Arabidopsis thaliana: one gene and its partner. The protein of the gene in region 2 interacts with the protein of the main gene of each other region in a pairwise test. Each region holds a gene or a part of one and is shown on either strand. Other genes may lie near its edges. The genes, in order: RAP2.7 and JAZ4.

Evidence for each region.
Region 1: the proteins of JAZ4 (region 2) and RAP2.7 interact in a two-hybrid assay, tested with the Arabidopsis thaliana proteins (one study listed by BioGRID).

What each region holds. Positions count from the first base shown.
Region 1 is NC_003071.7:12,224,910-12,230,306, forward strand, and holds RAP2.7 (uncharacterized protein), read right to left. Parts: upstream 3,716-5,397; 5' UTR 3,343-3,715; coding exon 2,831-3,342; intron 2,736-2,830; coding exon 2,710-2,735; exon of another isoform or gene 2,682-2,709; coding exon of another isoform or gene 2,642-2,681; coding exon 2,611-2,641; intron 2,527-2,610; coding exon 2,439-2,526; intron 2,357-2,438; coding exon 2,211-2,356; coding exon of another isoform or gene 2,207-2,210; exon of another isoform or gene 2,105-2,206; coding exon 2,060-2,104; coding exon of another isoform or gene 1,953-2,059; coding exon 1,733-1,952; intron 1,658-1,732; coding exon 1,547-1,657; exon of another isoform or gene 1,475-1,546; coding exon 1,259-1,474; 3' UTR 747-1,258; downstream 1-746.
Region 2 is NC_003070.9:17,929,374-17,935,445, reverse strand, and holds JAZ4 (jasmonate-zim-domain protein 4), read right to left. Parts: upstream 4,057-6,072; 5' UTR 3,789-4,056; coding exon 3,713-3,788; intron 2,847-3,712; exon of another isoform or gene 2,467-2,846; coding exon 2,294-2,466; intron 2,173-2,293; coding exon 2,009-2,172; intron 1,915-2,008; coding exon 1,830-1,914; intron 1,628-1,829; coding exon 1,360-1,627; intron 1,259-1,359; coding exon 1,198-1,258; coding exon of another isoform or gene 1,191-1,197; exon of another isoform or gene 1,119-1,190; coding exon 1,013-1,118; 3' UTR 784-1,012; downstream 1-783. Other genes in the region: AT1G48510 (Surfeit locus 1 cytochrome c oxidase biogenesis protein), read right to left, coding at 1-149, 236-327, 413-557. UniProt on the Arabidopsis thaliana protein: Repressor of jasmonate responses. Interacts with and suppresses RHD6 and RSL1 transcription factor activities to negatively regulate jasmonate-stimulated root hair development.

The DNA of each region.
Region 1 (5,397 bases), on a different chromosome or scaffold from region 2:
ATTACTAATGATCTTGCATGCCTTTAAAAAATCTACAATACTTTTAATGATATTGTAAATCAGATGATTACATTTCATCATAAAAGTATTTTTGTGTTCAGAAAATTGTCGATTGAAGATAATGGTATTCTTAATATATTCTTAAAAAGAAGGATAATGATATGTTTAAAGAAGGAAACATGTGAGCTTTTAGATTACTGGTAAAGGCATAGGATACGAGTCATAGGAAAGGGCCATTTTTGGAATATTATGAATAATAAATTTAGTTTCTTTAAGACATGACATCTTTACTGAATATTATTACATTACCCGGAACGGTAGATAGACTTAGAGATTTGATTTGACAGAACAGAAGATCGGGAATCTCTTATTTTTCTTTTAGCTTGACAATTGGCATAACAACTACACCATTTTCTTTAAGTTTTTTGTTGACTATATAACAAAAAACCAACGTAGCCCAAAAAAAAGTAGTTCGAATGTTTCGTCCTTGTTTTTAAAAAGTACTAAATTTTTACAAATATCCTAGGATCTTCGTCATTTGTGGACGTTTCGGTTTAATGACTTACCGTTAACCATTTGACTAAAAATATTTCCTAATTATTTGTTTAGTTGATATAGTTTAGAAAATACAGAGCATCTAATCTATTCCAAAAGTTTAAACCATATTATGCATGACTCACTGAATAGTTAAGTACAATACATTTCACACGTGACTATAGAATAAGCATTTAGATTTGGCACTATATCCGAATATGTATACAAATAAGAATGTAATGTTTTTGCCAAATCGTTTCGGGGTTCCGAAGAGGCAGCCAAAACCTATCACTATCTCTCTTTACTGTTCTTTTCAACAGTGTTATTTTAATCAAAATATCTTATACTATCAAACCTTCACATAAAACGACAAAACTTCATCCTCATATTTTATTTTTTGTTACAAATTGTACCTTCCAAATTTCAAGAGTCCTCTTACCAAAAAAACATATTTTCACATAAACAAACCTTATTAGGTAAAGACATTTTGAGAAGATTTAAAATTTACCACAAACATACACATTTTTTTTACCATTTAGTTGATAAAGTTTTTTCTCAACAAACCAAATTTTGATGTAAAAAAAAACACATTTTCTCATCTGAATTTGGAAAAATTGATCATTGTATGTGAAAAATCTAAAACCCAAATGACATTTTTGAAAGGGGACTAGAGTGTTGAGAGAGAGAGAGATGGTAAAAAAACTCTCATATGTCCCCTTACAAGTTAAGGGTGTGGATAAAAGTAACCACGTGTTGCATTGTCATTGGGAGGTTGTGGCCGGAAATGTGAGAATCCTGATGATGCTGCTGCAACTGAGAACAATGGTGGTGGTTGTGGTCCCGGTGGCTGCGGTCTCACGGCGCTTGTTTGCCCCGGTCTCTGCCATCCCCAGTTACTCATCATCCCTTCAGCTTCACTTCTCTTTTCTGTTGCTCTTCCCTGAAAAAACAAACATTGTTTCATTGTCTTGCGACTACATTGTGTTGTTTCACTTTGATTCTATGTTTTTACCTCGGCGGGATTATTATAACTCGGGCATGCTCCGTTCCAGTAAAGGCGATGATCCGAGGATCCATAAGGAAGAGGTGTATTCACCGGCTTTCCCATGTATTCGTTATCTATCTGCAGTTTGTTTAAAAGACGATAAGAAACGTACGTTTTGAATTCATGAGAGATTGGTATTTGAAAGTTAGTTACCCTCAAGCTAACTCCACGCTGAGTTTCATAAGTATTAGAAGGGAAGTGAAAGAGCCTCCCATTTTGCTTTGGCGCATTACCGGTCGATAAAGAGATTCCCAAGTTGAGGTCAATCTCAGAGTTATTGCTCTCAGAGTTAATCTCATTTTGGTATGAACTCATCTCGAAGTTCGTGACTGCTTCTCTACCATTAGTGTTGATTGCAGCCTTGTCATAAGCCCTGTTGTCAAGAAAATGTTTAGAAAGAAAGAAACTTCATGTTGGCTTTGATAAAAACAAAGTGAAGTTCTACTAAAGGTTTCTATCAAACAATGATCATTAAGGAACCTTGCAGCTTCTACTTCGCTGTCGAACAGCCCAAGATAAATATACCTGCAATTCAAGCATCTTAATCACCTAACCACTACTTAGACACCATTCCTAGTTTCATACCCTTTCTAAAATCAAAAAGTTCATATTAAAGAACAAAATTGCTCACTTTTTACCAAGAAACTGCCCCATCCTAGCTTCCCATCTACCACATTTGTGTAACGTAACCCCTCGATACTTCGAACTCCCCCGCGAAAACCCCGTGCTCTGTCTACGCAGTATATGCACAAACTCTTCCTTACTCAAGTTTTGTACCTAAACAAGAAGATAACACAGTTAAAAAAAAAACTACTCAAAACAATCATATAACCAAAACAAAAGACTTATATCCAAAAACCTGTTTCATATCTTCCTCATAATCACCAAGAGTAAAGTTGATATCAGCATCAACACCTCTAAATTTAATAGCAGCTCGATCATAAGCTCTACAAAAACACAAACACTAATCAAAATCCAAACCTTAACAATTCCGAAAACAAAACTTTTATCTATAATAATCCAAAAATTACCTAGCTGCAGCATGAGCAGTGTCGAAACCACCTATATAAATCAACAACCATGAATCAATAATCTTAATCATCAAAATTTTAACAAAAATTGTAATTTACCTAAATAAACTTGTTTCCCACAATCCCTACAAAACAAAAAAAAATTGAATCAATCTCACTGATAAAAATTACTAAATCGAGAAACTTGTATTATCATCAACAACAAAAAAAAAAAACTTACCAAATATGTGACTCCCATCGACCAGTTCTTCTATAAAAAGTAACTCCTCTATACTGTGAACTTCTAGACCTTGGTCCTCTCCGACTCTTTTTAACCTGAGCCGGAACCGGAGCCGGAGTCGGAACCGGAGTTACCAATTTCGTTTCTCCGTCACCAATACGGTCAAAAGAAAGATCTATCCAGTTTCTAGAGCTTGATGATCCTTCAACATCTCGTAGATGTCCACAGTCTCCACTCACCGGAAAAAACTCTTTAGTAACGGAAGCTGAAGCGGCGGGGCTTTCGTCTCCGCCGCTACTACTTCCGACTTTTAAAATATCGAAACTGAGAGTGAAAGCTCGAGTAGAGCAAGAGTCTTCGTCTCCATCGGCATTGATAACTGACGACGTCGATGTACCGGACTCTTCCACTCGATTCCCGGCGGAGTTGTCTGATGTCTGCCGATCTAAGTATGAGTCACCACCGTACTGAGTCGACTCGGGAGAATCAGCGTTGAGGTTAAGATCCAACATCTCAAGCTCTGAAAATTACAAATCTAGCGAAGGTGATGATGAAGGAATCAGTTGTTAGAGATCGTCTTCTACAGCAACAACGATTACATAATCACATAATCTCTCACGAAGAGCTCGAGATGATCGGGAGGAAGAAGAGAATGGAGAAGAATTTAGAGATTACGATGGAGGAATGGTGAGAGTAGAGAAGTTTTGTCGCCGGGAAATGTTACCGGCGGCGAGAGAGTGAGACGGATATTTTTTTTTTTTAAAGTGGAGAAGAAGATAGAAGGAGACGTGTGAGGGAACATTTCAGACCCAATTTTAGAGGATGATCATTATTTATAATAAAGTTGTTTTTCTCTCTCTGTAACTATAAATGTGTATAATAACTTTATAATAAAATTTTAACATATTGTTGTTGGTCCTTTTTTGGCAGTGGTATACCGGCTAAGTAAGTTTCCGGTTTTTTTTTTTTTTTTTTTTGCCGGTACGTACTGCTTTTGGTCAATGCTTTGGTTTTCAAAGGAGACAATACAATACATGAAATGAAACATCAACTTTTAGTTCCGACCAAAACAAGAGTAATGATCGCTGCAGTATTGTTTTTTTTAACCCATGCTTGTTACATTAGATTTTTGTAGGTGTAGTTGATTCGTTAATGTTAACAAGAGTAAAATGTGATTTGGTTCGTGTGTTACATGTTTTTTCACGTCGTTTGGTTTGGGTTTTGGGGTGACATAGTGTTGATTGCATGAGTTAATTAGGAATGTACGTTGGTGTGTTTTGAGATTGAGTGTGTGCACCAATTTGGCTTGATGGATATTGGTCCAAGTATGCCATTAGAGGATGGGATGTTGGACTTGGACATGGGCAGATGGTATTTGAGTCATAGGTCTAGGATTAGTGGATTGGTATTTTTGATTAGTGTATATGACCGAGGTGTTATTATAGTGCTAATCGTATGAGTGAACGGTTGTTGTATTAACCACTACTTATATGGTTTTGTCCGCGATGTCTTTAGCTCTTGTAGTTTCCTCGTCCTTGATTTTAATGTCCTATGATAAGCATATTGTTGTAGAATTGTGGGTGATGAGTATGACTTATGTTTGACTTTGTATGCTACCATGAGAGCATTGATCATGCCTCAGTGAAGCGGGGGATGGTGATTGATGACATAGATGATGTTGTCAAACTTTCCCGAAAATTCGCTCAGAAGATTCATCGCCAACACGTAGTCAACTACGGTAGAATCGACATTTACTAGAAAATCACATAATATAAATTTTTTTCTTGTAATTTTGCATTTAGTAATCTGCCGTTATTAATATCTTCGAAAATCAAATCTCAAAAGGTTATTATCTAGAACTTTTTTAATAAGAAAATTAAAAGTATTGTTCTTTTTAGTTATTAGTTGAATATTTGCCATTTTTGATATAGCATTTGGTATTCAGGTTATGTCGAATCATTTGACTAGTACTAGTTTTGGAAGTGAACATGTCTCTTCGTAAGAAGTAGCCCACATGCAATGTTTTCATTCATACGGTATAATTGAATCTACCATTGTAGCGTGTTGCATTTTTGTCCCGAGTATTGATACAACTATATTATCACAGCCCATATTATTATTTGATTGATGTATCCACTTTTAATAGATCTAATTATGGTTAATCGTTTCTTTTAGTTTGAGAATAGCATGAAATTTTTCCGGTCTTAAATGGTTCGGATTCAAGTTTAAACTCTGTCCATAATACATACTTACATAGACTAAAATCCAGTAAAAAAATCACACTTTTTCAGAGCATCAGATTTGATACCTTCTTTAACAAAACCACAAATATATAAAAGAATAATATATCAATTACCATTGATGTATCACCCACCACATAGCAAGATTGAGATCGAGAAATTGAGGATTTAGGGTTAATAGCATACATCTAAAACATGCGATTGCAAGCTCTCTTTCTTGGACGGCATTGTACTAACGATTGGGATTGGTCAATAAGGTATAGGTCAGTGATCCAACGGCTGGGATTTACTCAAATATAGAGAATATCTGTCTTAACGCTAATCTTA
Region 2 (6,072 bases):
TTTGGACCCACATAGATCGATCTTTGCTCATCGAAAATGCCTTTGCATACCACCCGTCGAAATCCTAACCCATCCAAATCTTTCGTTGTATTCAGCTTCATTGGTTTCATTTCCAAGCATTGTTTTCTAGAATCAAGATGTTCCTTGTACTTGAAACAAAAGAGTTTGAACAAATTCTTTAGCAGATCAAAGAACAACACGTATAATTAAAATGTATATAATGAAAATCACAGACCACTTGTGTTTGTAGGAACTTATACGTCTCACCGAGACCATAAGTAGTGAATCCAACTAAGTACCATAACAACGCTGACCCTCTTTTCTTCTCTGCAAAACATTTTTACACAAAGATTCAGAACCAAGATTCAGAACTTAATCACAAATTAGACGAGAGAGAGCATGTGCAAGATACTTGCGGGTGGTGGAGCTGAAGAAAGCAATTGGCTCTCAAGATTGGAAGTTTGTGAAGCAGCAGGGAGATTGCTAGTAGTAGAAGAAGACATGTACTGACTTTGAGAAATCAACCTCTTAAATATCTTGGAAACGAGTTTTGTCATCTTTTTCTCCTCCAGGATCTTCTCTTTGTCTCATCCAAGATTCTTGATCTACTATATATGGCGACGACGACGAGGACTGATTAAGTATATAAACTAATGTTTTATTTTCTGATATAGCACATGGCACCAACTAATTAAATGACTTTCATCTGCTGGTGGAAATATTTTATATCAATTATCGAAAAAAAAGTATAAACATAAAGTTGACTTCAACAAAATCTAGAAGAGCTTGAATAGTCTTACTTTTATGTTTTTTATACACATGCAAGAGTAAAGACAAAACATACAGTATCCAAATTAAATTTATAGGATATATATAAATAACTTGCTTTTACAAGCCCAGTGTACTAAAATCTGAATAAACAAAAGCTATAACAACTATACTATAGTCTATAGGATACAGAGCCAGAGAAAAAAGAAAAAGCCTTTAGAACAATGAGGGGTCTAAATTGGTTTTAGTGCAGATGATGAGCTGGAGGACAGCTTACACATTCAGACATCAGTGTTCTACAGTCTATTGATGACTTGTTGTCTACGTAATAAGGTGATACGTTAATGACCCTGCAAGAAAACGAAGCCAATATACAGCAAACCTGTGTTTTGATATTGTGAATAAGTGAATAATCTTGTAGCTCAGTACCTTTCTTTGCGTTTCTCTAAGAACCGAGCCAAGGATGCTTTGCGTGTTTGTGGTAAACCCACTGTATTAAATCATAGCAAGATTTTTTGGTTATAACAAACTAAACCTAAGATAGAAGTTTGATGACAAAACATTAATAGGAGTTAAGACTTCATTTATAACCTGTTGGAGCCATAGAGAAGGCAGCAGTTTGGTTGTTGCGCGTGGATGCTAAACTCGCCTTTGTTTTTGTTGGTCCAAGTCCAGTAACCCCGTTGGATCCACTACTTCTGGTTTCAGAGACAATGTAAGAGATGGAAGGCAGGAAACTAGGAGGCATAGTTGGAGGATCAGTGGTTGGAAGAGAGTGATGAACCAGTTTTTGAGGTTTAGGTTGTGAAACCGGTTTAGCATGAGGTCCATTTCCGGCTAGCAACATGATAGCTTGGGCCTATGAATACAAAATAAATGAAGAAGTAAGGACAAAGATTTATCATATCTATGAATCATTAACATACTGTATGTTGAAACCAGGTTAGTAACTTTCTATAACTTCAGCATGTCTATACGTGAAACTTATTTCTTTGATTGAATACTTAGTCAGTGGATAGCTTGGACTGTAATGTAACACATATTGAAGGAAATTTGGTTACCTTTTCAGGAGCTATGTCTTGGTAAACTAATACTGAACCGGCATAAAAGATTGTCAACTGAGGGGGAAGTGGTTTTGAAGAAGATCTGGAGATGAACATAAAGGAGCTCGAGTCAACTATAGAAGTAAAGAGGTTCTGTATCTGATGTTAAACAGAAGAAGATAGAATGCAGTGCATGCCTAATAGTGGTTGGAGCAGGAAATACTGAAACTGGAGGTGCCATGATAGGAGATCCTCCTAAATGTTGGTGGTTTATGAAACTGTTGATGTAGTTTGGTTCGGACATGGAGACTGTGATGGTTGTTTGGTCTTGCTGACTGGAACCTGGGAACACTCTGTCTTCCTGAGATCATTTTGTATCAATTTTGAGACCAGAAGAAACTAAACCAATTGCCAAGCTTTCTTACAAGGTCACTAAATCACACTTTATCACTACTTTTTTTCTTTTCAAGAAATAGCCTAACCTGTAGTGAGCTGAAGTAAGTTCTCTGGTTTTGATCCATTGCAGCAGAAGAAAGCAAATGATCATTGACTGTGTTTACACGCGTTTCTTGTTGGGATGTCCCAAAAGAAAGAAACTGAGGACCAGAACCGACTTTGCTTGAGAATGACCAATCCATCATACCTCTACTTGGGGCTGAAACATGAGCAAATGTCTTTAGATTTTATCAAACTAGGAAACACTCAGATCTAGCTATGCTAAAGTGGACGACTCTTAACATTAGATTCATCAACAATGAACAAATCTGCATAAAGCCAAACACACTGGGGAAAATAGTGATCATACAAATACTTTCAAGAAATGGCACGTTTCGGAATATAAAAAGACAAGAACTAACTATTAAATTCCTCGTGGGTAAGTAAATTATTCATCCAAATTGTAACTTGATCTAAATTTAATACCCAACATGATCCTAACTTAATCAATGAGTCTACTTGGATAGAAATAAAACTTAATCAAGTCACAATCAATCTTGCTTTTATATAATTCAACTTGCATTTGTTGTTAAATCTCTAATCGTCAGCCGGTCGCTATATAACGCATTCTTTTCCCAACATTTCACGTCTTCGTTTTTAAATAATACTGATAGAATTCAAGTTGCTTAATAAACCTTAAAAAATGGCATAAACTTTTCAAAAAGAATAACCAGCCAATGTTCTAATTCTCAATATTCAATCCGGCTTTGAAAAAAACAATCTTTTCTAAAGAAGATACTATTGTATTGAAACCAATTGATCAATTTTGTAAGCAACAAAAAAAATATAGCATTTTTGTTCTGTCGGTGTCGGCTGTTTGAAGAAAAAAACGAAATTATTTTGAAAACACTCAACATTACCAACAGCTTTAGAAACATGCATCACCTAGTCACCTAGAAAATCAAGTTTGTTCTCTGAATATTATTTTTCAAAGATAATACTAACACTTGTTAAATTACTAACGTCAACAAGTTTGGTGTTTGCTTGTATAGTTGTATACTTGTACATTTGTAGTTTGCAAAAAATATTTAATGAAAAAAACTTCAAAAGTAGATCGTGAACGTATGAATTTTCTAACTATCGAGTCCCAAAACGTGTTTTTTCATCGGCTACGTCAAACAAATTCGAGTAGCTAAATTTCTGTCTATAGTACTAAAACCTAATTTCTTAAATATATATCAAGAAAAAAGAAACCCTAATTTATTTTTTCTCTTCCCGAGAAAACGAAGAAAAAATTTCTTGTTCAAGAAAAAACCAGACAGTAGGACTCCCAATCAAGCTAGAAAAACAATATATATGTACTTGAACAATAAACAAAAAAAGAGATTACAAAAATAGAAACAAAAAAAAGTGAGATGAAAAACACAATCATCAGATCATAATGGAAGATGTTGAAGATGAATTACCTGAATCTTCGTTAGTTTCCTCCTTCACAGTTATCGGAGATAACTTTGATCCCAGCCCGAGAAAATCTCTCTCCATCAGGCTTATCAATCGTTGAGAATACAAAAACGGTTTAGCTTTCGCGGGGGAGAAAAAAAATGTCACCGGAGAAGAGAAGAAATGAGAGATCAGAGAGAATTAGTAACAATTGAAGGACTTTGGAGAGAAATGAAAAACGTGAGTTGAAGTTACACACACCGCCGATTTATGATTCCTCTAATGATGTATACATATATTTTTTTAATATAAATCATCCGATGCGGTATGTGTATATCCCACGTCTGCTTTCCTGTTCCGGAATAAACTTCCAATATTAGAAATTCAATCATCGGATATAAATATATATATTTATTTTTATTTTGAACAACTTGGATATAAATATATAAATATATAAATATGTCGTTAATATCAAACTTAAAATAATGTTTTACATTATTTATTTTTATATTTAAAGCTGATAAGCATTATAATAAGAACCCTTATTCTCAAGTTAAAAGAGAGCAATTATTTGTAGTGCATTGAGTCATTGACTCATTCATTCTACACAACAAAACATGGTAATAATGTGGTTGAGAAGAGCTTTCACCGTCGTCTCGATCCCTCTTCATACAAAGTTTGAATTCTTGCTTTGGGTCATGCAGTGCCTCATTATTGATTTATCTTTGATTAATGTTTTTTTTAGATAAGAATTAACCTATAGATCGTAGCCATCCCGGATGAATGGCCTTCTTTTTTATAGAGATTGATGGTTTTTCTCGTTTAAAGTTTTTTTTGGTATGCTCATGTCCTTGTTAAAAAGGCTAGATTTCATTTGTTAAAATCTAGCATTTATGCTTCGTATTGGTTCTCCCATACGGAGAACTTCCTCTTTTACTGTTGTTAGATTTCGTTTGTTAATATATCAAAGTATTTTTGTTTTTGGATAAACCCTAAGAGTTCCTAAGAAAGAGGTTATTTTCGGAACTGTAAGAGTTAATAGTCATGAGGTTAAATTACAAGTACATGTACACTGCTGAGCTCCCATGTTCATACCAAGTTCGAGTGTATGGAGCTTACCCTTGGCATTATGAATTTATGAGCAAGCTGCAAAACTTGCCACATAGAACCAGAGCCAGACCAAAAAAATATAAGGCTCCATACGAATTATGGAAAAAACAATTCTTCTTGAGATTATATAAGTCATTACCATATAATATTTTTAAAATTAAAAATTAAAGTTTATAAATATATTCTAATAAGCTGATTTTATATAGGTTCCAGATTTTAAAAAGAAAAAACATAACAAAAAGAGAACGTTGAACACAAGTTTTAGCAAAGTTGTCGATAGAGGGACACAATGAGATATGGTTCCCATACGTTACTCCAAAGTATCCCTTTTTACTTGGTTGGTTGTGAAAAACAGAATTTGAGTAGAGAGACAATGAGAAAGTGGTATGTAATGTAGATTCGAGTTGCATTTTTTGCAATGAACAGGTAGAGAGACGAAGGAACACTTATTTTTCCACTGCGCCTACTCAAAAAAGATATGGGAAGACTTAACAAGGGGAATTCTCTCGGACAGATATTCGGCGAGTTGGACAGAGGTTATGAAAACTTTATCTAAAAACCTTCTATACAAAACGAAGAGCTACATACTTAGGTATGCACTACAGACAGAACTCTATACACTCAATTTGGAATGAACAAAATAGGAGGAGGCATCAGGCATGGGGAGCAATCATCACCGACGGAAATACTTGTGAAGATTATAGACAAGAATCTTAGAAACCGTTTGAGCACAATTCAAGGTAGTGGAGGATTGAAGTTCAAAGATGGCATCCAAGTTTGGTTTAAAACTTTGAATCAAGGCAATAGATAATAGACAATTAGAAGTTCCTTTTCTTTAAAAAAACTCTCAAAACAATTAGCATTTCATATGTAACAAGTTTATTTTTCTTTTTAATATAATTTAACATTAAATTCAAAAAGAAAAAGTTTTAACATATTTTTATTATAAAAATCTGAATTAATTTAGTAAGAAATAAATAAAAATACTTGTTATTCGAAAAATCTGAATTAGTTTAATTAGAAGTAAATAATTACAAAAATTATCTATTAGGTCCATATCAAATAATTTATATAGATATTATCTTCTAACATTAAATATAACTATAACTATTCAAATTTGTATCTAACAATTATTACTTTAGTGGGTGCAAATATATCAAATTCCAGCAGTGTTGAAAATTTGTTAGATTTCTTTATTCATATATAAATAATAATATGCCCAAAAGTTTCTAATATTAATTAAAGCTAAATTTTCGAAAGAAAAAAAAATGTTATT